Linked DNA regions of Alligator mississippiensis. The protein of the gene in region 3 interacts with the protein of the main gene of each other region in a pairwise test. Links are inferred from orthologs where the notes say so. Each region holds a gene or a part of one and is shown on either strand. Other genes may lie near its edges. The genes, in order: myomegalin, ACTG1, TNIK and TRIM2.

Region 1 (7,654 bases), on a different chromosome or scaffold from region 3:
CAAGAGCAATATTATGTTATAAGTAAATAGAACAGGCCTTCTGCACAGATACCATGGACAGCCATCAGCATTTCAGCTGTATGAAGAGAATCACCTTGCCTGGTGGGTTTGTGCACGGACAAGGAACATTTGTGGGGAAAACTGTAACTGTTTTCTAGAACTTAGCTGGTGCAAAGGAGTCAAAAAACAATTTTTCTTCACCTTCTGAATTAAGAATGTTTATAAAATTAAAGTCTCTCTCATTTCATTACGCAATAAGGACAGAGGTGAGGCCAAGGCCTGGGATTTATATGAGACCTATTTACTGGCAACTCTGACTCTCCAATCCTTCTGTTAAAGTGGAATGAGTGCTTTCGATTTATGCCAGATTTAGCACTGAAGACATCATTCTGTGTTGGGTTTGTTGCCATGGTAAGAAACAGGAAATGAAAAACTCAGCGTAAGATTCACCAGAAAGACAAACACATGACAGAGGCTGGGGTTTGAAGAAACCCTTTGTAAGTAATTCTGAGACGCAATGAAGATGCTAAGATGCGTGATACAACTGAAATGTCATGTAATCACCATACGAACTAATGGTGGAAAACCTGTGCGTTAAGAAAGACCCTATTTTGGTATATCAGTCTGTAATGGTAAAAAACAGGCAACAAGGTACACAGAGATGATGGCATTTTCCCTTCACTTTTTAAGGTTCCCTAGGTAGTGTCAGCAAATCTTCAATTACCGGTGACAAATGGATCATCAGACTATGCTTTGGAATTTGTCAGCTTCCGTCAGTCTGGCTTCCTCCGTAGCACGTTTTCATGCTAAAAGCTGTTGTGGAAAAAGTACACACCCCTGGAAAATGCCAGAGCTTGGAAAAGAATGAGCACAACTCACTGCATAAGGAGAACAATCACCCAATAGAGCTACAGTTGCTTCTGTAGTAAACAAGTATCTTTCTAATCCCTGAGGCTACCTGGAAAATTAGACAGCACTAAACCTGCTAATGCCAAGACAATTAGACTGACATAAATATTGCTGAATTAAAGCTGACATAAGACTTTAATGGGTGGTAAGAGAAGTGAAAAAAGAAATACAGGTGCAGGCCTGTGATCATATATTAGCAAGAATTTTAAAGCCAGGCAAAAAAGCAGTCAAAATCCAGAGGTAAATGTTACCTGGAATCTATGCAGATGGTTAAAATGTTTGAAATTCCTGCAAAAGCTCACAGGCTCTCAGCAGTGACTGCTACTGATTGTTAAATCTTTTTTAAAGGATCAGTTACCAAGAATGCTAGCTTTAAGTCACCCAATGGAGCAAATCTATCTGCAAAGACAACACCCTCACTGCCAACAGCATAACGGTATTCCTGAGGGCTGAGCAAATCGGGAAAACTGGGGAGAGACAAAGAGCATTCGATTTTGGAGCTCTGCCTGCAAAAAAAGCAGTTCCTACCACTCCAGAACAGATCAGTTACAAATTATAACTTTATAACTTACAAAGGCCAAATAAAAACTGAACTGCTATTAAAGAAGCATTTGGCAGCTTAAACTACACCCTTTAAACTAACAGATTCAAAACTTACTCCCTAGAAAGTAATGAGGAGAAATTAAACTGGTGTTTGCTTGGCTGGAAACAAGAAACAAAAGGGGAAATATCAGCCAAACCTTGCTGGTATCCTTGATTCAGGGAAACTTAAGAGGCAAGATGCTAGAAACCTATGGAGGGCTCATTTCTCAAACACACCAGGAAAAGAATACCATGGAAATGTCAGAGAACAGGGACGAGGTGTGTATAAGGAGAGCGGTTGGAGGGCCTAGCTACCCATTCCTAGCCTTTTGCTCAGATAGGACTGGCTATCTGTATTATCCCAGCACACCTGAATCCAGATTGGACTCTCAGCCAAGATGGCAGGACCTCTGTTAAATTGCAGTGTTGTTCATCAACCTGTACCTGAACCTGAAGTGGCATATATTCCTCACAGAGATCTTCCCACAACTCCTGCAGGTCTGACATCTCCAAGGGAAAGCCCAGAGGAGGTCGGGAAAAGGACTTCACATCTGCGTTCAGGAATCCAGAACCAGTCGTCACCAAACCAGCATGAGGACTTCCATCCATCGTGTCGTGGCTGGGCTTGGATTTCACTAGAACAGGTAACCTACTGCCTTTGGGACTCTGAACAGGCTTGTAGTCACAGGTTTTGATCAGGCTAAGAGCTAGCTCCAACCTATTACTATTTAATGAAGAGTTTAGAGTGGTGCGATCATCGGAGCAACAGTCGCACTTCCCACTGCCTTTTCCACCTTTGTCCATTTCCTCCTCCTTCTGCTGCAAAGAGCCGACCTCCACAGTGGTGTCCAAGGATTCAATGGAGGACCCGGGAGTCCCTTCCTCCATGCTGTCTCCATCCGCAGGTACTTTGGCATTGGGTGATTCAGTGGCTCCAAGCTCGCCTATGGGTGGCTCTTCATTGCACACGCTTGCAGACCACCTGCTAGAAGGCCCACAAGAGATGCTCCTGGCCACCTTTCGCGGGATTTTACAAATGGCTTCGTAGTCAGAATCCGCAACGCGCAGAGCAGCACAGCCCCGGCATCGCCTGGGCCGGCTAGCCCCGCTCTCCGAAGCGTGGCAGCTGTGTGACTCTGAGGCCTGCTCCTCGTGCTCCGTCCAGCACTCGAACCCGGAATAGACAAAGTCCTCCTGCAGAAGGGCCGCGTATCGGACATCGGGCAGGCTCGAGAGGTCCACAGTGCCATCCCCCACTTTGTCATCAGGGCTCAGCTCTTCGCCGTTGTTCCTCCGGTACAGGCTGGCAATGCAGAACTTTAGGCGGTCCTTCTCCAGCAGCAGTTTCTGCAGGCGCTCGATGGAGAGCGCCTCGATGCGGGCGATGACCGTGTCGAAGCGGTAGACGCGGTCCAGCATGAAGGCGCACTTGCTGCAGGCGAACTCGGCCTTGCCATCGCGGCACAGCTCCTTGCCCAGCACGTGGGACAGCAGCACCTGCAGGTTGAGCTTGGAGGCCGGGTGGAAGATCCAGCGCCTCTGATTGCCGCACAGCTCCCGGGCGCAGATGCGGCAGGCGTCCCGCATCCTCCTCGCCGGCGCCTGGCCCCCGGCTGCAGCCCAGACCTGCGCGCAGACGCTCTCCAGCCCCGACTGCTCCCTCAGCGCCTCCGCAAGGCCTGGGAGTGGGGATCCCCCAGGCCTGACCCCAGGGGCTCCCCTGGCTCAGGCAATGCGCAGCCACCCCAGCCCCATGCACCCCCCTGGGCCACGGCTACACGGGCTCCCCCATGCCCCGCCTGGCCAGACACCCCCTCTTGCCAGCCCCCCTAGCCCCGCCCCCACCCCTTTGGCCCCGCCCCCAAACCACCCGGGCCCCGCCCCGGGGACCCCCGATCTGCCCCCGCCCGGCTCAGAGCAGGAGGCTGCCGCCCCGGCCGAGCCCCGCGGGGAGACGCGGCCCGGGCGCCGCCGCCCCGACCCAGGCGCGGAGGAGGAGGAGGAGGAGGAGGAGAGCGCTGCTGCCGCAGCCGCTACCGCTGCCACTGAGGCTGCCCGATTGCGGCTCAGATTGCAAGATGGCGTCGCCGGCTGCACGGCGCATGCGTCCTCCCAGCGGCATTCTGGGAGCAGCAGTTTTTGCCCTGGCCTCCGCGCCTCCTCCGCATGCGCAGAAGGAGCTGCACTGCTGGCAAGGGAGTAGCTGATGCTGGCAGCTGGCACAGCCCCAGGGGTGGAGGCAGCTTTGCTCGTCCCGCACCTCCAGGGGCCGGGGCCTGTGGAGGGCCCTTAGGGAGCCAGGATCGTGATCCAGGGTTACTCTCTGTGTACCCAGGCAGTGCCAGCCACAGCCAGGGATGTGCCCTGCACCCCCAGCCCCGTGCACAAGCCCCTGCGCTCGCTACCTGCTCCCAGTGCCACCCTGGTGTATTTGATACTGGGCCCTATGCTGCCTCCCGCCAGAGGTGCCTGCTCTTCCAGGACAGGGGCACTGCGCCTCTCTCCCTGCCTCCTGCTGATGCCAGGCCCCTGACAACAACAAGCACTCAGGCCTCTGAGATGGCGAGTGCCGCCCCACCCGTTCTAACATTAAGCACCCACACACTGGCCCAATCACCCATGAGCAGAGGGAGGTAACTAGCCGTGTTAATCTGAAGTCAGGCAAAAGGCAAGGTAGAGATGCACCTTGTAGACTACTACATCAGAGATGCATCAGCTTGCCTCTGCCAGCAGTGCCCCCTCCTATTGGGTTTCCTCTCCCCTCCCCTTTGTATGCCAACAGCTGCTTTCTAGTTGGAAGCTCTGCTTCCTGCAGTCCCTTCCCAACATCTGATGAAGTCAGCCACTACTTACAAAAGGCGATGCATCACTGACTTTGTTAGTCTGTTAGGTGCAAATGTACCCTGACTTCTCTCAGTCACCCAGCCATGCTTGCCAAAGGGCTCCTCACGCTACTCAGCACTGAACACCGCCCGGAGCCACATAATGCTCTACCTGCACAGAGCCTCCTGCCACTGAGGGTCCACCTGCTCCTGGCCCCACCTCACAGCAACCCGTTGACGCATGCCATCCAATGCCATGCGATATTGAGCTTCACCCACTCCATGTACCAATCAATCTTCTCACTGCCACTTGCCCACAAAGCTGTACCAGTTCTACCTATTGCTATGTAAAGCCCAGTGGTAGCCAGTCTACTCAGTGCCTCCTGGCACCCAAATGGTGCCTTTTACCAACCAGCTTCTTGTGTCACCAGCCACAAACTAAGACTCACAGCATCAGGATTCATTTTCTACCTAACAGGTACAGAAAAGTTTAATGCAGAAATCATCATCCAGGTAGGCAGGTCAAAACTCAGCTTTTTAGTGAAATTGCCACTGGTGGTGAAATAAGCCTGTTTTACCCCAGAGAAATAAGTCGTCCCTCCCTTACCTCTGCAACATAAGCATCCATCAAATCATCCTTCACTAATGTACCCTAATTCTGGAGAAACCGCCCCTATCCAAAAGAGAAAGGGCTTGTTCAATAACCACAGTCCATACAAACTCTAGTCCTTCTGATGATACATACTGCCAGAGACCAGTTAATGTTAACTGTCCATTAACTGCCCAGCAATGTGCTGTACCAATGTAACAGAAATGGTGCCTGCTCTATGGAGCTTCCAAAATCTGGTGGATACAGCAAACAGGCAGGCAGGCACAAGAAACACAGCAATCACAGCATGCCAGGTGCAGAGCCACCACCAAGTATTTTGTAGGTCTCATGGGAGTGGATAATTTTAAGAGGGTGGGGGAAGAAGGTGGCTCTGAGAAGCACTGAAGTCTGGGGTTTTTTTGTGAAACAATTTATTACAAACTAGATGACAAAAAATGAACAGCAGAGCAACAACCCGGAAACCATCTAAAACCTCAGACATGCAGACCGGGAAGAGAAAGAAATCTGAGAAAGGGTTGAAATCTTCCAACCCTTTGTGTGCAGAGAGCAGGAGGGTGGGGGGAAGGGTGGAAGAGAAGCCTGCTATACCTGCTGAGCAGGCAGAACTGTTTCAATTGGCTACCGTTCCCCAGGAAGTGGGATAATGGGTTGGAGCAGATGGAAGCCCCCCTGGAGACCGTCCTGTACTATGTCGTTCAGAAAGCTTAAAAGCTATAGATTTGGAAGCCAGCCAGCTGCCCAAATTATAGCTTCTCTGCTTCAGAGCCTAGACACTCATTCTGCAATGACAGGCCGGGGGGGGGGGGGGGGGGGAGGGTGGCATTATTCTTCACTGCAGCCGGGAAGAGGGCCTGCAATTACAGGGCTTTGTCGTTTCCTGTTTCTAGAAGGCAGAACTGTCCAGCTGTTTGGAAGCTGTTGGGTTTGTGTCTTGCTGGAGTACTGCAGGCACATCACTGTGCTCCAGCGTCCTTCAGGAAGGAAAACATTTTGGCTCATTTGCTTACAGGGAAAATCCTTCAAATGTAACACCTAGGATACAAGGTTCTTTGGGTAAATGTGATATCTTTTATTTGGCTAACTAGGTAGTTGGAAAAATTGTTCTTTGCAAGCTTTTGGGCACAAACACCCTTCTTCAGGCATAGAGAGAGCCTACAGGTCTCTCTATGGTACAGGAACAGCCTACAGAAGAGAAGCCAAAATGCAAAATGCAGGTCTGTGAAAATGCAAATGCGTGGCAGTGAGGATCAGAGGGAATGGGAGACAATAGGTAGGAGACAGCTTGGGGCAGGGAGGAAAGGGGGAATGTTGAACTGGTGATAGAATGTAGCTGGTAAAATGAAGACAGGTTACCTGGGGTTATCAAATGTTAGCCAAGTTATAACGTGCCATAAATCCAATGTCTATATTTAGTCCAAGGGTATATAGGTTGTAGCCACGTTGGTTTAAGGACATAGGCAGACAAGGTTCTTTGGGTAAATCTAGTATCTTTTATTAGACTATTTTTATTAGATTTTTTTTAGAGTACTAAAGGCTCAGATCAAGTGCAGGCCTCTTGAGGGCTCAGGATAAGTGCAGTGGCTTCTTAACCTGGCAGGTGAAATACCATGCATCTGTGTCCAAGAAGGCAGTTTTCCTGAACCACCCCACAGGGCAACTGCTCTTCTGGCGTGGTTCAGTACCCACTGAGATGTAGTGGCTTTAAGCCCAGTTTATGGAAATGGGAGACTCATCCCTTGCTTACTCCGAGGGGCTTATGGCTAAGGGCAAGCAAAACTCGGCAGCATCTGAACCCCAAGCCTCCGGGCTTGGACCTGCAAGTAGGACACCCACCAAAGGATCTGGAAACATCTGAGGCCCCAGGTATGGGTGGAGAATGTTTGCTGGTAGTAGGGCCGTTTATGGTTCCGGATTCTTGGATGTGGAATTAGTTTTGGCTAATTTGGCCTCAAATGCAAATTATTTTTTTACAAATTAGATTTATTATATTATTTATTTTTCTTAGATTATTTTATCTGAGTTGGTCTAATAAAAGACATCAGATTTACCCAAAGAACCTTGTCTGCCTATATTTAGTCCATGATTTTTTGTATCCAGTAGATTTATGAAGTGAACAACTAACAACCCTAAAACACCAAGGAGAGGTGCAAGTCTACTGACTTCAGCAAGATTTATCAGTGTAGCCAGAGCTCACCACTGAGGAAATCAAGGATTTAACCAATGTGATTGTATCAGGCCATGAACCGGGTGGAACTCACATGTCACCTGTAGTCTGGCCCTTGTGACAAGAGAACTGCTGCTATCATGAGACTTTCTGTAGTGTGCATCATTGCCTGTAACTCCAGCCACCTGCATGGTCAGGCTAGGAAAAAGACATGCCAGAGGATTAATACAGAGCAATCTTGCTGTGAAGAGGTAAGAATCACCTGTGTGGCACAAAACAGCTCTGCTTCTCTCTGCTAAAGGCAGCCTGTGCTGGCATCCTGACCAAGCTCCTTTGCTTGTGGTGAATGGGCTGTTGGACCAACAGGGGGCACCAGGATTCCACGGCAAGAGCTGATTCAGGAAGAACAGGTGGGGCTCCTGCCTTGGCCATGCTCAGGAGCCCAGTGAAGGGGTGTGTTGCCATTCATTTTTGGACAGCGAGCAGTCTCCACTTTCTTGCCATCAGCATTTTATTAAGCAGCTGCTCTTCCTGGTAGTTTGACATCTGCAGGGATACTTTGCACTC
Region 2 (8,716 bases), on a different chromosome or scaffold from region 3:
GAAGGACAGCACACGCATGTCATTTACTGCAGCGCTTTTATTTTCCTTACAATGACGTGTTGTCGGGCATTACAATTCTCGACCTTGGGATGACTTACAAGTTTTGGTTTTCTACTGTCATGTGAGAACATTAAGGCAACGTACAAAAAAAAATCTTACATAAATTAAACGGGATGCAGAAATTTACAGGTGTAAATGCAGAGTTTCAGCAACTCAAGTCGAGTTAACTTTTAGCCCCGTGTGATGTCTTGCTGGGATACAGGTGGGTGGGAAGATGGAAACGGGCTCCTAAGGCTTGGATGTGATATGTTTTTCCAACCTTGCTAGAACGGCAGCAACAGAAGTGAACTCTTTGATGGACTCCTACCAGCCTCTACATGAAAACTTGGAATACTCAGCGCTTTACAGATTGGAGTCTGACCTCAAATACCCTGTACAGATCTAGTCTCCGGCCCACGAGCTTAGGCTCCAGGCAAGTGTCACTCATCAATAGTAGCAAAGCCAGGAGCCCTACAGGCTCCTTGGCAGATTCTCTTCCACAAACACAAATTAACCTTGGCAGCAGGGTCACACTAGTGACTGCACCTGTACCAGGGTCTAGGTCAGATGTGTACAGGGTATTTTGCTAGAGAGTGTACACCAAGGGAACAAGGAACTTGAATACAAGGTCAAATCAGCGACAGCTTGACAATCCAACAGTGCTGACGTGTGTCTAACATCAGATACAGACTTTCCAAGGGCAAGTTTCTTTGAAAGAAGGCTTATTCCAGTTTTAGGAGGCTAGCATGAGGTGTATAGATTTGCCTGGGCAAACATATACTAGTGAAAAAAATACTCATGCAGCAGATGCTGGGCATCTGCTCGCAGTCCATTTAGAAGCATTTGCGGTGGACAATGGAGGGGCCGGACTCATCGTACTCCTGCTTGCTGATCCACATCTGCTGGAAGGTGGAGAGGGAGGCCAGGATGGAGCCGCCGATCCAGACAGAGTATTTGCGCTCAGGGGGAGCAATGATCTGCAAGGCAACAAAGACAAGTCAGCCGCAGAGCCAGAGCTTTGGAGGCCACCTCCCCTCCCAAGTCCCTGGGCATCCGAGAGAGGGTTTGCTCGTGCCCCGGAGGCTGCACCTACCTTGATTTTCATTGTGCTGGGTGCCAGGGCTGTGATTTCCTTCTGCATTCTGTCGGCGATGCCAGGGTACATGGTGGTACCACCGGACAATACTGTGTTGGCATACAGGTCCTTTCGGATGTCTACGTCACACTTCATGATGGAGTTGAAAGTGGTCTCGTGAATGCCACACGACTCCATACCTGGAGAAGAGAGGTTGCCAGGTCAGCACACAGCTGGCCACTCAAGCCTTGCGCCGCCAGCCCCTGCCCCCTGCACTCAGACCCATGACCCCTGGCACTGACACGTTCCAGGCACGTGCTTGGTAGACACCTACCTAGGAAGGATGGCTGGAAGAGGGCCTCTGGACACCTGAACCGCTCATTGCCGATGGTGATCACCTGCCCATCAGGCAGCTCGTAGCTCTTCTCCAGGGAGGAGGAGGAAGCAGCTGTAGCCATCTCCTGTTCGAAGTCCAGGGCAACGTAGCACAGCTTCTCCTTGATGTCACGCACAATTTCCCTCTCGGCCGTGGTGGTGAAGCTGTAGCCTCTTTCTGTCAGGATCTTCATGAGGTAGTCTGTCAGGTCCCGGCCAGCCAAGTCCAGACGCAGGATGGCGTGGGGCAGAGCGTAGCCCTCGTAGATGGGCACAGTGTGGGTGACACCATCCCCAGAGTCCATAACAATACCAGTGGTACGACCAGAGGCGTACAGGGACAGCACGGCCTGGATAGCAACGTACATGGCTGGGGTGTTGAAGGTCTCAAACATGATCTATGAGGGGGAAGGGAAAGAAAACCGTGGTTTCAGTGACAAGAAGCCTCATCCCAAGCTGGTTCACTCAAATCCAAATTAGATCACACATCATGCTGGCATGCAAGAGTGGGATGTGTGGAGAAAAGGGGAGGGGAAAAAAAAAAAAAAAGAAAAAAAAGGCAAAGAACGCAGGCAGAAAATACACAAATAAAAAGAAACCTGAGACTTCAGGAAGGAAATGCCAGGAGGAGAACAGAACCCTGGAACAGGGAAAGAAAAAGGCGAGTTTAAGGAGATGCCATAAAATTGAAGAGGGCTTGTGCTGCGCAAGGGATGGAGGCGCCGACGGCTGCTCCCGTGGGGAGCCCCTACCTGTGTCATCTTCTCCCTGTTGGCCTTGGGGTTCAGGGGGGCTTCTGTGAGCAGCACGGGGTGCTCCTCCGGGGCCACGCGCAGCTCGTTGTAGAAGGTGTGGTGCCAGATCTTCTCCATGTCGTCCCAGTTGGTGACGATGCCGTGCTCGATGGGGTACTTCAGGGTCAGGATGCCTCTCTTGCTCTGGGCCTCGTCGCCCACGTAGCTGTCCTTCTGACCCATGCCGACCATGACGCCCTTTAAGAGACAAACACGGGAGGGGCGAGGTTAGGGCCGCGGCTCTGGACCGGCTCCGCGGCGCCGCTCGGGGCTGGTCTCCGCCCAACTGACCTGGTGCCTGGGGCGCCCCACGATGGAGGGGAACACGGCCCGAGGAGCGTCGTCTCCTGCAAAGCCAGCTTTGCACATCCCGGAGCCATTGTCGATGACGAGCGCTGCGATTTCTTCTTCCATTGCGGAGGATCTGGGAGGAAGATGAGGAGACCTGTGGTCAGCGGTGCTGAGCAGGCCCCTTGCCAAGCAGGATTCAGTCCCCGCAGCACCCCACCCAGCTCAGGGCTCCACCCCCCATCATGCATTGCATTGCGTTTTTTAAAATGCATTAAGAAAAAAGAGTGGTGGGGGGGTGCTCCAGCAGGCGCTGCTGCAGCTTGCAGGGAGGGGGCAGCACTACAGCCCCCCCACCCCCCTGCAGCACCCCGGGGTGCAGCATCTCCCCCGGAGCCCGGCTCCTCGCAGCTTCCCTCTCTCCTGCCCGCAGGGGGCGCCCGCGCGCCGCGCCGCTCCCCTCCCTTCGAATCTCCCGCGGCGTGACGTCACCCGCCGGTCCAGCCAATCACGCCCCCGCCCCTGGCATCATTCAAATCGCCCGGGTGGACGAAACCATTCCCAACACGCGGGGGTGAAAGAAAAGCCGGTCGCGCCCATTCCAACGGCGGGCGGTTGGGGGTCAGGTGGACCGAACCATTTTTTCCCCTCCCCTCGCTATAGAGCGCGGCAACGGCCGCCTAGGGGGATGAGCCCCTTCCGCGCCATTACGAGAAGAGGGGCGAGAGGCAGGCGAGCGGCCCGCGGCGGGAGGAGCCCTGTACCTGTGCGGAGGAGGCTGGTCTCGGTGCGGGGGGGAAGCGCTGCTGCTAGGTCCGCTGCCGCCGGCTGAGTGAGACCGTCTGTTCGCCCGCCCCGCCCTTTTATACCCGGCGGGCTCGGGCCCCGCCTCGCCGGCCGAGACATCGCCATATATGGAGATCTTTCAGGAACACGCGCGCCCATTGGCTGGCGCGGCCCCGGCCACGTGGGGCGGCTGGTGGGCTCGGCCCCGCCTCTGCCGCCCCGGAACCTGCATGAACCAAGCTGCCGCCCCGGAACCTGCTCCCGGCTCCTGGGGGCCACGGGGCACCCCGGGCATGGGGCACCTGGTCCACGGGGCACCCCGGGCATGGGGCACCTGGGCCATGGGGCACCCGGGTGTGGAGCACCTGGGCCATGCAGCACCCCAGGCATGGGGCACTTGGGCCATGTGACACCCCAGGCATGGGGCACCTAGGCCGTGTGACACCCCAGGCATGGGGCACCTGGGCCACAGGGCAACCGGGGCGTGGGGCACCTGGGTCGTGTGACGCCCCAGGCATGGGGCATCTGGCCCATGCAGCACCCCTGGGCTATGTGGCCATGTGACACCCCGGGCGTGGGGCACCTGGGCCATGCAGCACCCCGGACATGGGGCATTTGGGCCCGTCCTGCACCCTGGGCGTGGAGCATCTGGGCCCGTGCTGCATCTCCGGGCCCACGGTGCCTGGGACCACGCTGCACCCCACTCCCATGGCACCCCGTGCCCAGCACCACCAAGCATGAGGCCCCATGGCACCAGCGCCATGACCCAAGTGCCACGGCCCTTGTGTGATTGCACCGCTCCATGGCCCGCTGCCACGCAAGCGCCGTGGGTGTCTGAGTCCCATGGCAGCTTTCACGGGGCTCCGGGCAGGGACGGTGGAACGGGCCACCCGGTTGTCCTGGGGCACCGACTCTTTCCAGGAAGGCAAACGCTGGGATGGGCGGGTTTACTCAGGCCACCACAAGCACGTGGGGTCAGCATGGAGAGACCTCCCCTGTCATTAGCTGCGACCAGAGGCTGAATGCACGAGTCTCCCCGGACGCGGCCAGCTCGGGGCAGCCCAGGCCATTGGGGTGCACGATGCCGCATCACCAGGCTCGGTGCTCAACGGGGCTCCTAAGTCCCCTGGACAGCAGCAGGAGTTCGGGGCCTACATGCCAGTGAGGCCTGCCCAGGGGCCAGCACTCGCTCGGGGGACGCGCACCCCAGGACTAGCCCCGGCACCTCCGTGGCGCTTACGAGCCGTGTTTGGGGCATCTCGACCCGGTGCGATGGGCCGGGGGCGCTGGCCCCGGGCTACCGGGAAGCAGCGGGAGAGGGAGGGCGTCCACCTGCCCCCAGCACAGCTGGACGCAGCAGGCCACATCTGCCCTAGGGCGTTGCACCTCTGGCTTCAAGCCCCGCTTTGGGGGAAGGGACCAGGCCCCGGCAGGGCTTTCGGTCCAGCCCAGCGCCCATCCCTGTTCTCGCTGCCGAGCAGGAAACATTTGCTCCCTGACGTCAAAGCCCATGAGCGAAGGCAGCGGTGACTGTGCGCCGCGGCAGCGAGCGGGGGAGCCAGGCCCGGATCAGCTCATCTTTAAGCAGCAAAAAAACCCTGCCCCCCTCCCGGCAGGCCCGGGAGGAGGAACCGGCGGGTGCGTTTCCTGGCACCGGGGCTGCAGGCAGCTGGGGAGGCGGAGCGGGAAGTTTCTGCCCAGATGAGGTCTTTCATTGCGGGGCCGAGGGGCTGGGCCACGGCCGGGCCCCGGGGAGCTGCGGGGGAAGGCTAGGAGGAGCAGGAGCTGGGCCCCCCCTTCCCCGACTAAGGGTGCCCGATGCCCGGGGGCAGGAGCGGGTTCATCACCCAGGCAGAGGAAACGGGCATCGCTCATCATGGGGGGGCCCGGCCTGCACAAGCCCCGGGGTTCCAGGTGACTCGTCCCCGGACCGGGCTTCTCCCGATGCCCAAACTAGGAAGCAAATCCCAGCCCAGCCAATGCCGGAGCAAGGCAGGATCCCGGCGTGGATGACTAATCCCAGGGGAAGTCCATCCTACGCTGGGGGAGGCAAGGGAGAGGGCCAGGTTATGCGGAGCCAGGCCCGGGTACCCCCAGCCCCTGGCTCCTCCGGCTGGGCTGGCTCTGGAGCCACCCTCCGCGCCGGCCCCCATATCCAGGCATGGGGATCTGGTCCACCCGGGGAGGATGCCCTGCTGCCCCCGAGGTGGGTTTCTCCCGGTGTTTCCCGGTTCTCGAGGAGGACACGGGCATTCAGCCGTGGGTGACCGGCTCCGTGCCACGTACCCGGCGGGGCGGGGGTGCTGCAGGGTCTTGCCTCTACCCCTCCCCCAGGGAAAGGCCCCTTGGGCCACGGGCGGGCTCCCTGCAGGGCTCTGACGTTCGGGGCGCGAGCAAGCCAGGCGGGTTCCCACGCCCACGGTCCCCGCGCGCCATCGCCCCAGGGCCCGGCCAGGTGGCAAGGTCAAGTGCAGGTTCATGGGGCTCCAGCGTGGTTCCCTCCGGCAGTGCCAGCAGAGCCCCCCCAGGCTGGGTGACATTGTCTCCCGGAGGGGCTGGAGCGTGGGTGGGGGCAGAGCCTGGGGGGCACGGCTCTGCCTCCCCCCCGCCCCCCCGCCCCAGGGCACGGGGAGGCAGTCGTACCAGCCGCACCCGGGATGTGTCACGACCAGGCATGGCGTGACGGGGAGGGAGCAGGTGGAGCCGGCCAGGTGGGCCGGCGGGAGCAGTGCATGCCTATATTTGGTGATCTCGGGCCCAGCCGTGCCCGCCCGCTCCGAAACCTGCCCCGGCTCCCGCCCCGCGGCGAACAGCCGGGGCAGTGCCGGGGCTGGACTTTGGCTCCCCGAAGCCGGGAGCCGGGCGGGGGCACACAGGGCGTGCGGGCACAGCTTGTGCATGGGGGTGAACCCAGAGCTTGCACACAGGGGTGCCACGTGGCCCTGCCTCTCCTCTGCACCCCTGTGGACACAGTGACCTGGGGGGGCAAGCAGGAGGGGAGGGGCGCCCTGCCCTGCCCTGGGAACGGGGAGAACTGGGGCATGGGGGCCGCCCTGGTGCAGCACGGGTGGGCACGGAGCCCCTCCACAGCCTGGGGGCAGGAAGCCTCCCTGAGCCCCCCAGCCCCTTGGATGCACGACGAGCCCCAGACCTGCTGCCCCCCACCTCGCTGCAGCCACGTGGGCAGCACCCACGGGCCCTCCCAGCACTTGCATGGGGGCAGCAACACCCCGGCCTCGATGCTGCCGCACCAGGGCAGCTCCTGCCCCATGCGGGGCCGCGGCTACAAGAACCCCCCCAGCTCTGCCCGCTTTGGGGCACCAGCTCTGGGCTGGGGAGTGCCAAGAAACAGCAGGTTGCTTCCTTGCGGGGGGGTCTGGAAGGTGACACCCATCAGCACTGGCGCTAGGCTGGTCTGTACTGGTGAGAGCGGGTGCTGGGCACCGGAGGCGCCGGCAGGACCCCGACGGGGCGCACTGACGGCAGGGAACTTGCTCTGGCTTCATGCCTGGATCGGGCCCCTCTGCATGGCTGAGATCCAGCCACACGGCCCCCCCGGCAGTGGGACCAGTTCCCTCCATCAGTACGACCAGCTAGGCACCCAGATGGGACTGGGTGCACTGGTTTCCACAGAGTCTGGCTGCAAGCGGTGCCCAGCTGGGCCTGGCCAGCGCCAGGAGGGGAGCCCCCAAACATGCACCATGCACCGGGGCAAGGAGCCCGCATGGGGGACCTCCTCCGCTCCGGCCAGCCTGGGGCCGGGCACGGCAGTTCCTTGCTGCGTCCACCAGGGGGGCCCCTGGACCGGTGCCGTGGCCTGTCCCGTGCCGCAGGCGTGTCCGTGTCGGTGCCCGGCGCCGTGCCCGTGTTGTGCCAGCAGGTGTGTGCAACCTGGGCCGGCCCGCCTGCAGCCTGGGCCCCCAGGGACAAGGGCAGGGACAGTTTGGGAGGGAATCTCCCAGGCCAGTGGCCTGAGATGAGTTTTTCCGTTCTCAGCCTCCGCCAGCAGCCCGGGACTCGGTTCACCTCCTGCCCTGTGGGCTTCACCCGCCGTGCGTGCAGGGCCCAGCTGCTGCCTGGAACAGCCGTGGCGCCCAGCCTGCCCCACAGGAGCCCTGGCCATGGGTGGGGGCAGGGACAGACCTGCCCCTGTGGGCTGGGGACAGGCATCGATCCCCCCTCGACAGTGCTGGAGACTAGCTCGGCAGGCAGGGCAGGGGAGCTGGCATCCCTGGCCTAGGCTGGGGAAGTGTGCGCACACACACATCCCCACCCACACTCACATGCAAGCATGCGCACGTATGCACAGACATGCACAAACATGCACGCACACACAGCATGCACATGTGCGCACACATGCACATGCAGGCATGCAGACAAATGCACAGACATGCACAAGCATGCATGCGCACACAGGCAGGCACACATGCACACACATGCAGGCATGCACACACACATATGCACAGGCATGCACCCACACAGGCACACACATATGCACAGGCATGCACACACACACATGCAGGCACGCACATGTATACACAGGCACATGCATGCACAAGTGCCTATGCGCATGCATGTGCACACACGCACACTCTTTGCGCTCCCTGGGATGCTCAGGCCCAGCCTGGGCCTCTCAAAGCCTCCCCCGCAGCCACACACGACCCCCCCGGCCCTGCCCCTGCCCCCCGGCTCAAGCAGCCTTGGCCCGCCGCGGCAGGCTGGTGGGCAGGCCGTCGTTCGCCCCCCGTTAAATAGCGGCTGCCCGCACGACACCGATACCGCGGCGGCCCCCCCGGAACCCGACCCCGCGCGCCCGGATCCGTTACAGCGCTCGCTTAGCGACAGCCAGTGTCACGAGATGCCCGGGCCGCGGCGCCGGGTAACCTACACCCGGGGCGGGTGGGGGCGGCGCGGCCGCAAGTGGAACGGCCGAAGAAAAGGAGAGCTCGAGCATGAAAAAATCATTAGGCAACCAATCCCCGGGACCTATTTCCAGGGACAAAGCCGGCCCCACGGGGCCTGAAACCCGAGCGCCGCCCGCGCCCGCCCCAGAAATCAGAGCCCCGGCCTGCGCCCGTGGACCTGCCGGCTGGGACCCCACGCGGCTGCCGCGGCCCCCGGGAACCCCAGCCCCCGACCCGCCAACCTGCACCCCGACCCCCTTTGCAAAGTGCCCGTGAGGCTGGGACCCCCCGAAGCAAATCAGGGCCCTCGTGTCAGGCGCTGCACAAATGCAGCAGCTGCTTGGGTGAGAAAGGGAAACTGAGGCATGGACGGGTGCGGCAGGACCCCCATCCCAGCCCATGTGGGAGGGAGGCATCTGAGCACCGCAGCACAGGAGAAGGGCTGAGCTGTGGCT
Region 3 (7,626 bases):
ATTTGTTAACTACATTGGGGGTGGGGACGGACAGGGTGTGAAAAACAACAACACTAATCGAGTCAGACATAGTGATGAGTTTCCCAAGCATTTCTTTCAAATATTTCCTCTGGCTTTTAGCATGAATTGTTAAATCAACTAGACCTTCATTGACTGTATGCCACATCCATTTTAATAGCTGTTCTTCACTGCTTCAAACACCTAGATCTAAGAACCATATCTCCTTCATCCAGGTATATATAAACCTGCAGCAGTGTGACACTTGCCTGATTTTCTAATCAAATGCGATTGTGACCCTTGTGAAATTACTCTGTACTGCCCTGTTTTGTGCTCAGGCAGCAAATTTACTATTGATTTCTGATGCAAACACTGGGGAAGACTGTGCCCTGCTCAATGCATCCATTGAATATTTGACCTTTAACAATTATTCTACGTACTAAATGCATTCAGTTTAGAAGAGCTATTTCACAACAAATTAGGATCCTACTCTTGTCCCACATGTAAATCAACCTGTTGCATAGTTTAAGTGAAAGTTCCATAAATAGGTTTCTTCCACTTACGTTATACAGTGGTTGAGATTCTCCCTCTTAGGGCTTTGTCTCTATCTAGGAAGTGTTTACCATTTTCAGTGTAGAAGAGACATGAAAGCCCAAGTGAGCCAACGCTGACCCGCAGGTGTAAAGAGCACAAAGTTAGACTACAGCTGCCTGGGGTTACCGCAAGTCAGTGCGGCAGCCCACCCAAAGCCCTGCTGACCTTGAAGCATTACAGAAGGTCAAGTGATTACAAAGATCGACAGCTCTTGAACAATTTATCTGATGTACTAGATGCAAATGGGGCTCTCTCCAATATGATCTGTCACTGTTTTGGGAGCTCTGAACAAATTCCCTTCAGTTTAGTACACGAAGATACACAAAGCGTGTTTTGTATTCTCCACGGTCCTCCTGCCCCCACCACTGAATACTGACACCATAAAATGGACACAACATCTAGCGTCTGTTGAGGTATATCTACCAGCAAAGAAGGCCACTTGATCCCATGGTTGATCCAGTTCATAAGACTACTTTTAGGGGCATGGGGCACAGCTAGGACAAGCTCCCTGGATAACATGTGGAATCTCCTTCATGGGAGACTTAAAAAAAAAAAAAAAAGAGGCTGGAAAGGCATTGGTCCTGGATGGTTTAGGAATAAACACATCCTGCATTAAATGACCACCAAGATCTTTCCAAGCCTAGGGTTCCACGATAAAGAAGCACATGGGGGAATCATAACAAATGCAGTTACAGTCGAGGATTTCTAATTTGTATTTGCACTGACAGACAATTCAGACTTGCTTTGGGTATAGTCCATGGAGAAAAAATAAATAATAATAAAAAGCTCCATCTGCATGAACACAGATACCTTAAAAACAAAAAGCAGGGATGTTATTTTAAGACTGGTTGTTACGGGCATTAAGAAAATTCAACTGCTGCTGTTCCCAAAACAAAATCCAACATGTAGGGGCTGATGCTCCAAGATGTTTGCTTTATAGGGCTATTAATTCCATTGACTGACATTTCTCCTGAGATACTGAGGCAGGGGAGGTGAACTAGAATTGAATGTTTGTTTTTAAACATGAAGGACCTCCATATTCCTCATCCTGTCCACACCTGCAACTGTGGAGCAATTGTTTACACCAGTGGTTTTCAACCTCTCTTCATGTGCAGATCCCTAAAAATTTCTGAATAGAGGTGCAGACCCCCTTGAATGGTAAGTCTATGTATTCATATACTTTTTGATTGTCTAAGGGGTCTGCAAAAGATGACTGTGACCATAGTCTGCAGACCCCCCGGGGGTCTAGGTTGAAAACCACTGGTTTACACTATTAATGAGCCAGGAACTAAGCAGAAAGAAAAGTAGGGCATGTGAATAAGACGGGCATCTTTTTGGGTTTGCCTTGAAGCAAACATTATTTGTAAAAAAACAAAACAAAACAAAAAAACCCCAACAAACAAAACAAAACAAAACAAAACCACACAACAGTCTTGGAAGTCTTCAGTGGGCATCACTTGATTTTATTTTTCTTAAACACCTGTACCAGCAAGGTGTACGCAGTCTTGCTGTAATAAAGGAAGGCTCCTTCAGACAACGTTTCAGCAGCCACGTCCAGATTAAACACTACTCCCCTAAAGGACTCCAGTAGTGGATAGCCGAAACCAGCAATAGATGAAAAAGGTGGGGGGGAGGGAATTATAGAAACAGGGGGAGAAAGAGACACATCACAATACAAAAACACTGGCTGCCATCTTTGATGTACCATATACATTTCTGGTTTATTGTAAATACAAATAAGAGTCTTACTTAGAAGAAGCGTGGGAGAAAAGAGCAAGGCTGGCTGATGACAGCAAATGAAGAGGCAAGAAAACAAAATACTCCGGGGCTCAGCATCAGTGTGCAACAATGTGCTCCACAGGGTGTGAACCAACCCACATCAGTGTTCCTAGATTCAGTACATGTGTAGTGTGTAGTCACACACACGTGCATCGCTATTAAGCATATATGCTTAAACCAAGCCTGAGGAGGCAGGGTGATGCCTGATGAAAAGGGCAAGGAGGCATATGCCCATTCCCTGGAAAGGACTGAAGATGGTGGTGATTGGGGGGCGGCAGAAATGGGGGCAAACATCCCCAGCTTGCAATGTCCAAATTTCACAGCAAAAAAATAAAAATCACATCAAGATGGACTCAACCCCTCTGGCCCCACGGCGGCCAAGGCAGTCGGCAGGGAAGCGCAAGCAGACCGGCGGGGGAGCTGCTACTGTAAAGAGACGCTGCATCCGAGGACAAAAAGAGCCACATCCTCTCTGCGCTACGGGTTTTTGTTTTCAACGCAGGGCTCCCTCAGGTAGAGGGGGAAAAAACAAACAAAAGACAAACCCACTTGCATTGGAAGGGCAAAGAGGGCGCTCTCCAGATGCCCCTGAGCTAGGGCGGGGGGAACAAAAAAAAAAACCGACAAAAAGACAGCTCAGCCTGAGCCTGTGCAAAGGCAACTGAAGAGCAGGCACCCAAGGGGGATGGATGCGCGGAGCACAGCGCTGCATCGACGAAAGGAGCACGGCAGCCACCGCTGCTCCAAGGGGGCACCTCTATGCCACAGCCATGCCGCACCCGGGCTGCAGCAGCCATGGGGCTGGGGGGCCTCGCGCTTCCCCCTGAAGACCCAGGCGCACCCCCCGGAGACCGTCCTGCTGAAGACACCCCCCGCCACTGCACCCCGGGGACATCGCAGCCCCGTCTCCTTCCCCTCCTGCGGGAGCATCAGTCCTGTGCACACCGCCCCCCACGCGCACACACCCATCACTACTTGTCTTACACACACCGTTCACCTCACACCATCATCCACCTCACCCCCCACCCCAGGAAGGCAGAGGACCCGCGGGCCGGGGGCGAGCACTCACCCGCAGGGCGGAGAGATCGATCTCGTCCAGGCTGCGAGCCGGGGAGTCGCTCGCCATGTTGCCTCAGCTCGCCGGGCGCCGCGGGACCTCCGCCGCCGCTGCCGCCGCCTCCTCTCCACGGCCGCCCGCCCGCACACGCGCACGCGCCGCCGCCGCTCCGGAGTGGGGGGGTGGAGGGGGCGGTGCTAAACAGGAGGGGGCGGGGCCTCCCTGCCCGGCCCCGGGAACAAGTGCAGCGCGCCCCGCCCCCTTCTCCCCTCCCCCCGCGGAGAAGCGAGGCTTGACTTGCCCCTGCCCTGCCGGGCTGCGGGCGCGGGCGCTGGCACTAGGGGCATGAGGACGCAGAGCGGGGCCGGCCGTCGGTCTCCGGCCAGGCTGGGGAATTAGGGGGTGGGAAGTCCAACCAGGAGTTGATCCTCTAAGAGCTACATCTAGGATTGCCCTGGCTCGGCACGGTCTTGCAATCTGGATTTGGGCTGCTTTGGTAGAGGAGCAGCGCACACAGGTGTTGGGTTTGGGAAGAAGCATCCCTCCGTTTCCAGGGGACCCGGTTTTCTCTTTGTCCTCATTTGTTATTCCTTATTCAGGAGCGGTCTCTCAAGCACCGGGTCTGGTCTTCCTGATACCATTTCTCGCTTCAGGGGGAGCACAGTGGGGTCCGTTATCCGATCTCGCAGGTGTGTGACGGGATCTCGCAACACGCAGAGTGGAGAAGTAGAAACATAACCCTAACACACTTGTCTCCTGCAGAGAGAGGCAGGATTTTTTTGTATGCATGGATTGAGATGCTCTTTTTTTTTAATTGCAAATAATCCTACAGTCGATAGGGCCACTTGACTGCTGCAACTTTTTCATAAAAAGCTGGTAGTCTGAGACACAGCACATTTATTATCTGAGCAATTTGGTAGAAGCAGGCTGCAGAAGAGACTGGCCTTGCAAAACAGAGTCAAGCTGCTGACATTTCCTCATCAGCAACAGGCTGTCTTAAACCAGTTGCAGAACTAGAGGGAGTTCATTGCCCAACTCTGCCGTATGCCCTGTGTTCAAAGTACCATGGCTATCTGCACATGCTAACTAAGCCTGCCAGGAGGTAGGTTCAAAGATCTGGAGCTGAACCTTATTATTAAGAGTGCTGATCACCGAGTTCCTGATACATGGTGAGAAATGGAGCAACAGCACCATTATACAATAGTGGAAGTTGCAGCATTGCCCCATACAAAATTCCACGTACAAGGCAGAAGGTATTTTTTCCAGGTGACTAAGTATTGCAGGTAAATGAAACATGCAGAAGTGGATGGAAAGCATGAGGTGATGCAGGGTGACAAACACATCACTGTCTTCAGTATAACAAATCCAGAGGCATTAATATGTGGTAGAGCAATTAAAACTTCCTGACATTCGAAAGATTATATTTGCCCGAAATCTTGAATTTTACATTCTACAGTCTTGAATAAACACTTAAATACAAGCAAGGAGCAAGCAAATTATTTCCAAGTCTCTCTCTCATTTTTTTTTTAACAATGGACTGGAACGCTTTGATGTACAAATGTTGTCTGCAGCGGTTGCAACCCAGACATTGCAATATTGTGATAATACATATAGACCTGAAAGCAAAAGTAGCTAGAAGCTAGTGACAAAGAAATGTGACTGCGGCAGTGCTGCTATAATTTTTTCAAGGGGGTGGGGAATGAAAAAGAATAAGCTGAGCAGAAAGTGAGAATGTGTTTTTCTAATAGCTTTTCCATTTAAAAGGCAAGGAAGGTGTCATTTGTAAAAACAGGTGTGGAAATGAGAGATTTCTTTCTTTTAAAATGATAGGCCCCAGTCTTACAAATGGACAGATTATCATGGATCTCTACATCCATATGAAGTGCCCAGGATAGGAGTTACTTCATTTGGGGCCTTTAATTAGTCCTTGAAGACAGTATATATATCTATATATAGATATATATATATATCTATATATCTATATATAGATATATATATCAGTAATGTCATAAATATAGTACATTATAGTAGGTTATAGGGGCAATGGAGTAAAAAATTCCAATTGCTTCAAAGTACTTCAGTATGCAAAAATGGCAGTTCCTGGTCCAGTAAACGTGTGTCAATAAGGCTGATTTACAAAAATTACTTCACCATTAGTGTATGGGTAAGGATATGTGACTATGTTATAATCTTCAAATTTCTGGGTGTTGTCTCTATGCTGCACAGACCTTCCTGGTAGAAATGGAAGCATAAACTAGTCAGGATAGTAAGGAATGATATTTTCAATGGAAAAGGAAGTTTCTACAAAATTTCATTTTTTCAAGGGAGAATTTTGATTTTACCATTTTGGGTTTTTATTATTATTATTTTCTGTCCATAAAAATCTACTCACAAAAATTAATTTAAAGTCAGGCTGATCTGAACTGGAGAATTTTAGTTCAGTAACTGGACCTAAGATGGGTCAGTGCAACATTAAACTACACTTTCCCTTTATGGTGTATTTCTTCAAATTTAGGGCCCCTGTTCAGTCCTATTGCTTAGCCACAGAAGGATTACATCTCTGATGACACTGAGTGGACTCCCCTTTGGCTGTGTGATGCACCATAGTGGACATGTGACTGTGTTGTCCAGTGCTCCTCTTTCCCCACATACTTGGTTCACCTGTTTCTATGTCCATTAGCTCACAATTACAGCTGGTGTAAAGTGGCATTTTGCTACTGATTTCCAGCTGATTTACTCCAGCTGAGGCTAGGGACCAGTGCTTTTACATGGATACAGCAGTTAAAAGGCACTGCCTAAACACACTAAAGTGTGTTTAAATATTAATACTCTATTAAATGCATAATAATTGGATTTCAAGCTAACATGATTACTGCTGCAGCTGTGTTAGAAGATACTCAGAAATTAATGGCTACTTGTGTCCAACCCGCATCTATTGATCTTCGCAAATGCATTTTAATTGATTCATCATCACTTTTGGATTGCTATCCCCTCTTACGCCAATGTGAGCTTTCACTGGAGATTTGCAAAGTAGCTGGAGGACAATCTGGGTGCTTTACTCTCACATATAGATCCTCTTGTCAATGTGTTGTTGTTTACCGTTTCTAATTTTTGCAAAACTATGGTATCCAAACCAATACTGAGAGGCTGCAGTGCAGGATTTCTGCATGAGCCTTATTTGCTTATCACATGAGTTCCTCCATGCCATGTTCAAAGCTAACTATGCATTATTACCAAACCTAGCCCCAATGATTATAAAGAAAAATGTTTGAATGTTCCCTGATACCCTTTATTACTGAGTCCGCATGCAGCCCGAAGCAAAAACTGTGGGTGTTACCTTGCTGGGAGGATGACCTTGAAGTCTCTGGCTAGAACAACTCTCATTCCCAGCAGTAGTGCCAAAACTTGTCTAAGGGGTCTCCAACAGGGAGCAAGAAGTTAAAACGGGCTTTTTGTAGCCATCTAGACAAGTCTCTTCACAACCAGATAGATGCCATTAACCACAACCTGCCTCTAACAGACAAGATCCAAGTTTTGTTATATGTACCTCTGTCAAAAGTAATTCCATTATTTCTCTCATCTGCTTGATGGAAGCACCTAAGTGCTTGCTAGGCCATATATCGATGAGGTAACTCCATTTGAAGCCCTGTGTATCACCGAAAGGTTTCATGTTTTCATAAAGAATTATTGTATTTGGTCAAGCCCAAAATGAGGTTTTATCCCCCATTTTACATGGGGAAAAAAGGTCTCAAGTTGGATTCAAGTCTGTGCCAGTTTGGGGGCAGGCAGCTGCTGTGCGTCTGACTCCAGCCCAACAGCTACCACCTGTCACCCACCAGCTTTACTCCCCCACCTCCTCTACTTGCCTACCTACCCCAATTCCACTGCATACCCTTGCTCTGCTCCAGCAGATTCTGGCCCCATTCCAGCCTGGCACAAGAAGCTCAGCCCCAGTCTAGTCCAGTTAGCAGCTCCAGCTGGAGCTGGGTCCAGAGTTACCACACTACCACCATTGCTACCAGGTGTGAATAGAGCTGTGCTCCATGCACCAGGTCTCCTGGAGCGAAGCAAGGATAAGCAGCTGAGGAGAAGTGGATTGGGGGGGTGGGGGTAGAGGTTGCAGGGGGAGAGAGCAGGGAAAGAGGGGTAGGGGGTCCAAGGCTGTAGAAGGGGGCAGGTATGGGCACAGAGGCTGTGGG
Region 4 (7,598 bases), on a different chromosome or scaffold from region 3:
GAGCAGAGATGACAACTTCTTGGGGAATGGAACTATGTTACAAAATTATATATTTTAGACATATGACAAGGTGATGGGCTTTGTGGGTAGGAGGAAAGCAGTAGATATGATATACCTAAACACCAGTGAGGCTTTTGACACCATCTTCCATGACATTCTCATGAGTAAGCTAAGGAAACACAGGCTAAATGAAGTCACTGTGGAATGAGTACACAACTGATTGGATCTTCATGCTTAAGAAGTATTCATCAATGGCACAATATCTATTTGGGAGAAGGTTTTGATTGGGGTTCCTCAGAGGTCTTTCCTAGATCCAGTATGGCAGTTAATTAATATCTTCATCGATGACTTGAAGGATGAATCTGAGTTTATACTTCATAAATTTGCAGTTGGTACCAAGATGGGTGGGATAGCAGGCACTTTGTAGGATTAGAAGTTAAAATGAGCTTGCTTCTTTGGAGAAATAATCCCAAATACATTGGATAAAATTCAGTATGACCAAGTACAAAGTGCCACACTTAAGATGGAATAATCAAAGACTCACATACAAACTGGGGAACAGATGTTGGTGCTACAGTACTACAGAAAAGGACCAGGATGGTTACAGTGGACCACAGCAGAATAAGTTAACAGTGTGCTACTGTTGCAAAATTAAAGGGGACACAAGCAATTCTAAATTATGCTTGTGCCTTACCACCAGGAGCCTGGGCTAACATCCTATAACCCTTTAGACAGGCATTTTAGTGAATAAGTGCTGTGTAGGGAAATAAACCTGGCCAAGCTTTTTTGCCACTGAACTATCATGTGTGGTCTTTTGTTTGAAGTAATGTATAGACAACACCCTGACAGAGAGCTCATGCAAAAGAAGAACTACACTGATCATGTGAGAACACAGAGGAACAACATGGAGAACAACAAAAATGATTAGCAGTATAGAAAGTATGACACACAAGAAAGGTTAGAAGAAATAGTATTATTTAGGCTGGAGGAGATCATCTCCAGATATGTGAAGATTTGTTATAAAAATGGAGGATAATACTCTTGGCTGCATCCACATGTGTGTGGACATTTGGTTCCCTGGGGACAACTAACAGTGGCGCACTTTGTGGACATTGGAATGCCCATGTCATATGCCCTCTGGCACGCAGCAAGTTACGCTGTGTCAGGTAGGGGAGGCTGGGGCCAGCACTGGGCTGTCCCCAGCAGCCTTACGTGGGGTCCTGGGGACTTCCTGCGGCTGCAGCAGTGGAGATTCTGCCGTGTGGAGCCTGACCAGCAGCCAGAGCATGGGTTCAGCTAGCCAGGCTCTGGTTTTGAGTGATGCATGCTGTCCCTGTGTGTGCTGCTCCGCTTTTTCCCATGGGTTTTTTGATCCCTGGATATCCAGGGGTCAAACCCCTCCTCCCCGCCCCACAACCACCATCCTGCAGTGCAGAGAACAACTGAATGTGCAGTATGTAGCACCTCAGACATGGCCCTTATGTCCAAAAGGAACAGGACAAGAAGCAACAGTCTTAAATTGCAACATGAGGCAATTTCATTTGCGAAGCACCCGGCTCTGTGCAGCTCTGCGGCTCTGCAGGAAGCCCTGCAGGCAGCCTGGCAGCAGACTGGGAAAGCAGGCTCCGCCCAAGAAAAATGGTGAGCCTGATTTTTTTTGCCCCCTGGAGCCTGCCTGAGCTGAGCAGGGGCCTGGTGCTTCCCTCCACAGCTGCAGTGCCCCCAGGACCACCCGAGCCAGGTGCCTGTGGGTGGGTGCTGCCTGGGGGGAACCTGCCGATGCTGCAGAGGGAAGCACCAGCCCCCCCACAGCCCAGGGACCACTCCACCTGCCAGTAGCTTGCCCTCCCCTACCTGCCACCAGAGTGGCAGTTAAGTCAGCAGGGTGTGTGCGTGACACAGGGGTTTAATTGGCCCGTAATTGAAGCGGTGTTTTTAAAGACCCACTACTTCAATTTAGGGCCCCCGTTTCATCTACACATGCCCTCTGACCACAAACATTTTTTAATTCAAGACAGACACTTGGCACAGCTTGTTTAACAGGTCTGATCCCTCTTCGAGAAGGAGGTTAGACTAGATAACCTCTGGCATCTTGTCCAGCCCTATTTTCCTATGTTTCTATGATATGAACCTATATATATAGGTATAATACTTCACATCCATTTAACCCACTGGATTGCTAAATATTATCATGCCTGATTTATAAAAGTTGGACAGAGCAAGACAGAAAGGTTAAATGACTTTCCTAAAATCAGAGGGAGCCAGTTTCAGTATCCAGACACTAGCTCCTGGCTTTGAATCAAAGAGTTCCTGGCTTTGAATCAAATGCAGAGACTAGTTTTCAATTTATTTAAAACTGTGTTCGCAAACATAGTACGGACTTCATCCCCAAATTATTGTGTCACATAATTCCTGTATCAGAATCTATCTACAAGCTTCTTAAAATTTTGTTAATTCTAACCCCCAGGAGAGGGCTTCACAGTTAAAATCCTACAATTTTTATTAGAGCTCTATAATAATAAATCCTTATATTTGTCTCACAAATATTAGAAGACATGAAAAAACATTTCCAATTTCAGCTGAATGTTTTTTATACTATCCACTCCTTTTTTCTCATATCAGAATATCAAGTAAACTGATCAAACCCAAATTTCTGGCACTTATCAATCTCTGTTACTTTAATCTTTTTAAATCCTTTCCATTTAAATGAAATGCATGTGGAATCAAGTTGTTTTATGTCCACCTCTAAAGAAATCCACAGTACTCTATGCAATTGCATCTACAGAATAATCTAGATAAGATCAAAAGAAAAACGTTAGCCAGTGATTTCAGTGTGATTTGCTGGAATAGAAGGAAGATAATAGCATGCAAAGCAATTTAATTCTATCAAATTACAGAGTGGATTGCATTACATGATCTCATATACAATGAGTATTAATAGCAGAAAAATAGAATTCATCAGTAACCATTTTGACATTGTGGAGTTCTAGTAACATGGGAAAGGTGGAGAATAATAAACACCCCCGCCACCCCACTCATGCTTGGTTGTATCAGTGGTGCTGAGGATAATATGAAAAACCCCTTTCTGAGGTGCAGTACATCTCTTCCCCAAAATATCTAGCCATGTCTTTAATTATTTCCTGCCCCTTCTTGACACAGTTGCTTCCACAAGAAATATCTTGGGCAGTTCATGCACTCTTCTGAGTGCCGGGGCCATCTCTATGGCCATAACTATTAAATAAATTGTCTTTTTTTTTTTTCATACTATTTTGGGAAAGTAGCTAAGAAGGAAGTGGTGGGCCTGATTACAAGAATGTCCAGGTGGATATATTCATAAATGGTAAAGAGAAGATGCCAAGAATATCTTCACTTTGAACACAACAAGCTATCAGTTGGTGCCATGATCCAGTTGTTGCCCTGGGCTCGGGGAGACATCTTTCCTCCTCTTATTGCTTTCATCTATGAAACATAGGATTGCCCAGAGCACAAAAGTTATTACTACAGCTGACACTAACTGGCTGTCTTAGCACTTTCAAGGGGAGCCAACTACTAATTAAGAAGCAGTTACCTTTAGCTTTCCGGGTCCACTCAAGTCAGCGTTGATTCACGTTGCTGGAGCAATGTGAGGCAGCCTGCTGTGTTGTTTGTTCCCTACAAACTCTGAGATATAATAGAGGGCTTCAGACTCCAGGGATAGCAAGACTATACTTTCCACAAGCCCTAAAGTTATTCTGAACATTTTTAATTCTCTGAACACAAGGAAATAAGTCAAATGCACAAACCAAAATTGTCCACAGAGAAAACTAGATTCCAATATGCCTAACATATTCAGCTAGTTAGACCTCTTTATGGCCTAACCTCAAATTTAGAATGAATAAAATTATTTTCTGCGAGAGTAAGGGTTTCATGTAGAATGGAAATGATGAAAGCTCTTATTCAAAACACTCACTACTAATCTTTTCCAGAACTCAAGTCCAAATCAGCTATTTCATCAGATTACTTACAATTTAAGAACCACACGGCAAATCAAGCCTGAAAAAATAAATCCTACAGAAAGCTCAAAACCAGCAGAAAACATTTTATATTAGGACAAAGATTGTCAGGTGTGTGTGTTACACTTAACTTCTGTTTCTAGTTTTGTAGAATCCCTTTTCTTCTACTGTGAGTAGGAGAAAAAGAGTCTTCCCTAATTCACCAGTTCTTTTTCCTGAAAGCAGCATGACTTACCCTACACACAGTCCCAGGCAAAGTGTTGGTATAATTATTCATAGAATCAAAGTAGGACAGGAGGGGACCTCATGGGATCATCTAGTCCAACCTCCTGCTCAAGGCAGATCACCCCTAGTGATCCTGGTGCCCTAACCAAGTGCTCCTAACTCAAACAAGAATCCTACTGAACATCAGCCTCTCTCATGTGCCTAGGGATGGAAATGCAATTTATGGATGCTGTGGAGGAAAGTGAGAATTCAGGCCTGATATATCAGCTGGGATGCTAGCACCATTGTTGCCTTTGTAGATTATAGGCCTAGAGATTTCGACATACGTGAAACTAGAGGGATAGCATGAAAATTCCTAAAAGTGACGGACTCTCAGCTTAGTCAAATAGCTGGTCAGAGCCCCCAAAGACAGTTCAAAAGCTTTCTTTGGGTTCTCAGGCTACTTTCTACTTAGTAATCTACCCATCTGCTCATTTGTTCCAACAGATCAATACTTTCCTATATACACACCAAAACAAGAGGCAGTTTATGTCATGATTGTTATAAAGATTTAACAACCCTCTGGATTTCCATGGTCTCTTCACTCCAGCTGATTTTGAGGTCAACTCTTCCACCTTATTGATCACTCTACTTTTAACCATCTCAGCTGGCTCTCTTTGATGTTCAGATGCCATCGATTCCATTGGCTGCTTCAAGAACATTTGAAATATAGGACACTATGTGCAGTAGCCTTGTAGTACAGGACTCTAAGATCCTTAGTCTTATTTCTATGCAGATTAACAATATCATTTCTATGGGACTTAATGTTCATAGCATTGCCCTATATTATACGCAGAGGGTATGTCTACACATGCAATTAATGTGAACAGATGCATCCACACATGTGCCCTCATCAGGAGCAAATTTCACCTGACAGGAGTAGTGCAGTCCAGGACTTCTCCTGACCTTCTCTGCCCCTCTGCAGCAGCCAAGGCGGGTTCCAGGCTCCCCTGGGTGCCAGCTCTGGGGCTGGCAGGGGCCACAGGGGCTGATCCTGATTCCTACATGGCCAGAACAGTCATTCCCGATGCTGCCTGCCTGCCATGTGGAGATTGGTATCCCCATATGGCTGGCAGGCAGCATCCCTGCTGAGTGGAGACAGCTCTCCCACCCATGTGAGAATTGTGTCCTGACCTCATCTCCACGTGGCTGGGATGCAGCAGTGCTGGCTTCCAGAAAAGCTCTCCTGGCCATGTGAGGATTGGGATGGGTCCTGATCTCAATGTGGCAGGGAGACAGCTGCCCCTGCAGCTGGCACAGCTCACCCTGGATCAGGGCTTAATCAGGCAGCAGTGGGCCCCTGTTGCCTGAGCTGACTGGAAGCAAATTGCTCCCAGTCAACATCTACACATGCGTTACTGCACAGTAGCTAATTCACAATTTATCTAGTACCTGTATGTTCTGGTACTAGCAAACAGCACATTAGCCTATTTTACTGTGCAGTAAGTCTCATGCATGTCTAGATGATGACACTCGACTGAGCATTAGATTAGTCTAATGCACAGTAATGCGTCTTGTGTAGATGCACCCAAATGGCATAAACAATCCATCAATGCAGTTGGGCTAACACTTTCTCAGATCAAACATGTCTATACTCTGTGCTGTTGGTAACCTTACAAAGCTAGGAATAATTAGGTGCTTCATGATTCAATTTAGTCAAAGAATATCATAAAAGTCCTGTGCAAAAATTAGTTTCAGGTACCTCTAAAATCAATATTATGCCCAAATAAGCAGAAACATGCAACTGGAAATAAAAAGGTGCACTGTAAATTAAATAGAATATCGGTATATACAGCTGATAATAAATGTGAACAAAGTAATTAGTAGTACCTTTCTTAGTGCATTTTATTTTGGTTTATGATCTTGTAAAATTAAATGAGATAAAAGGAGCCCAGAATTAACATATTTTCCAAGTAACGGCTTATTCTAAAACTATGTCCAAGCAGTAAATCCACTAGTGATTTTCTTTTTCTAATTAACTAAATTTTGGATATGACTTTCACACATAATATGGTCATCATCTTTTTGATACAAGTTGAGTTACACCTTGCTATAAAATAATTTGAGATGCACATTTTAGAAGAGAGCTCCAAGTACAATTTTCATAGTAGCTGCAAACTTTTCTGAAAGCATTAGAGATGCATGAGAAGGATATTTCCATTTCATGATCTCTCAAACCCTGAACACCTCATTAAGTTCTTCCACATACATGTTCACTTTGACACCAGCTGGTTCAGTAGCTGCACTAGGGATAATTAAGCTTGACCATTATGATTTGAAGAAAAGTACTGCTCATGAGAAAAAAGCATGATCATAAGCAGTCCATGAGAAAAGGAGGATTATGGTAATCTCACCTACTTATTGGCACTCTCCATCTTTTGTTGCAATGTTCCTTCCTGTATCATGCAACTGACAGATTCGCCATAATTGCTCTCCAAGGCTGGGATTGCTGCAATAGAAATTATACTACCATCTTTTGACTGGAAGAAGAACTACACCTTTAGAGAGATTCCATTTCTGTTCTAAGTCAAAGCAAAAACTCACCCTTAAATATAAAGACATAAAATAACTACTCTGTTCTTTATCCCCATGGTCTTTTACAGAAGCCAATGTGGTTTAAGCATACCCAAACAATTAGTAATTATTCCTGGATGATCATAGTTTACACAGGAATACATCAGTACTTCTTATATTGCAGTAACAATATACCCACATCATATAGCCCTAATGCATTAGAAATAGCTCCCCTATTAAGTTATGTCCAGGAATTCCCCTTAATGCTGCTTGCTTTGTTACATTAGGAGTGGCTTTCTGGAACAGCGCTCTGTTACATACCCTTTCTTTAAATGTAAGAATTACATACCAATGTGTTACACAGCCTTTTCCAGGAAAAATGTCTGTTCATTATAAGAGGTTTGTAGAGGGGCTGGATAGATCAGCGATTTAATAATACTGTATGCCACTTCACTTGCAAATGACCAGCTCAAATCCATCCCAAGTCAATAGTGATAGGAATTATTATCTTCTGAGGTTTTTAATGATCTGCTTACATAAAATGATTTGATGGCCTCGGTTCAGTTCCTAATGGGCAACTGTCAGGTAGAATTATATAGTATCTATTCTTATTGGAAGTCTCAGCACGGAGCATTGGAGCACTCTGTAAGAATTTCTCCCCTTTTAAGCTTAAGTGGGATCCCCCCTGAAACAAGGCTGAAACCTATTAGAAAATTTAATAAACAGAGGGCCTCACAGGTTGTTCATCCAATCTTCTGTGAACACTATATTCATTTATAACATTATATGGCAGCCATGCTAAAACTGCCAAAATGTTTGACCAGTCCA

The links.
Region 1: the proteins of TNIK (region 3) and myomegalin interact in a two-hybrid assay, tested with the Homo sapiens proteins (2 studies listed by BioGRID and IntAct). The link is inferred for Alligator mississippiensis from reciprocal best matches to the Homo sapiens genes TNIK and PDE4DIP.
Region 2: the proteins of TNIK (region 3) and ACTG1 interact in a two-hybrid assay, tested with the Homo sapiens proteins (2 studies listed by BioGRID and IntAct). The link is inferred for Alligator mississippiensis from reciprocal best matches to the Homo sapiens genes TNIK and ACTG1.
Region 4: the proteins of TNIK (region 3) and TRIM2 interact in a two-hybrid assay, tested with the Homo sapiens proteins (2 studies listed by BioGRID and IntAct). The link is inferred for Alligator mississippiensis from reciprocal best matches to the Homo sapiens genes TNIK and TRIM2.

What each region holds. Positions count from the first base shown.
Region 1 is NC_081828.1:43,503,338-43,510,991, reverse strand, and holds the start of myomegalin, read right to left. Parts: upstream 3,256-7,654; 5' UTR 3,079-3,255; coding exon 1,936-3,078; intron 1-1,935. UniProt on the Homo sapiens protein: Functions as an anchor sequestering components of the cAMP-dependent pathway to Golgi and/or centrosomes.
Region 2 is NC_081831.1:1,811,436-1,820,151, forward strand, and holds ACTG1 (actin, cytoplasmic 2), read right to left. Parts: upstream 3,419-8,716; 5' UTR 3,336-3,418; intron 2,708-3,335; 5' UTR 2,698-2,707; coding exon 2,575-2,697; intron 2,482-2,574; coding exon 2,242-2,481; intron 1,888-2,241; coding exon 1,449-1,887; intron 1,315-1,448; coding exon 1,133-1,314; intron 1,017-1,132; coding exon 873-1,016; 3' UTR 20-872; downstream 1-19. UniProt on the Homo sapiens protein: Actins are highly conserved proteins that are involved in various types of cell motility and are ubiquitously expressed in all eukaryotic cells.
Region 3 is NC_081830.1:75,556,816-75,564,441, forward strand, and holds the start of TNIK (TRAF2 and NCK-interacting protein kinase), read right to left. Parts: upstream 3,585-7,626; 5' UTR 3,497-3,584; coding exon 3,440-3,496; intron 1-3,439. UniProt on the Homo sapiens protein: Serine/threonine kinase that acts as an essential activator of the Wnt signaling pathway. Recruited to promoters of Wnt target genes and required to activate their expression. May act by phosphorylating TCF4/TCF7L2.
Region 4 is NC_081825.1:95,856,407-95,864,004, forward strand, and holds the start of TRIM2 (tripartite motif-containing protein 2), read right to left. Parts: upstream 3,591-7,598; 5' UTR 3,569-3,590; intron 1-3,568. UniProt on the Homo sapiens protein: UBE2D1-dependent E3 ubiquitin-protein ligase that mediates the ubiquitination of NEFL and of phosphorylated BCL2L11. Plays a neuroprotective function. May play a role in neuronal rapid ischemic tolerance.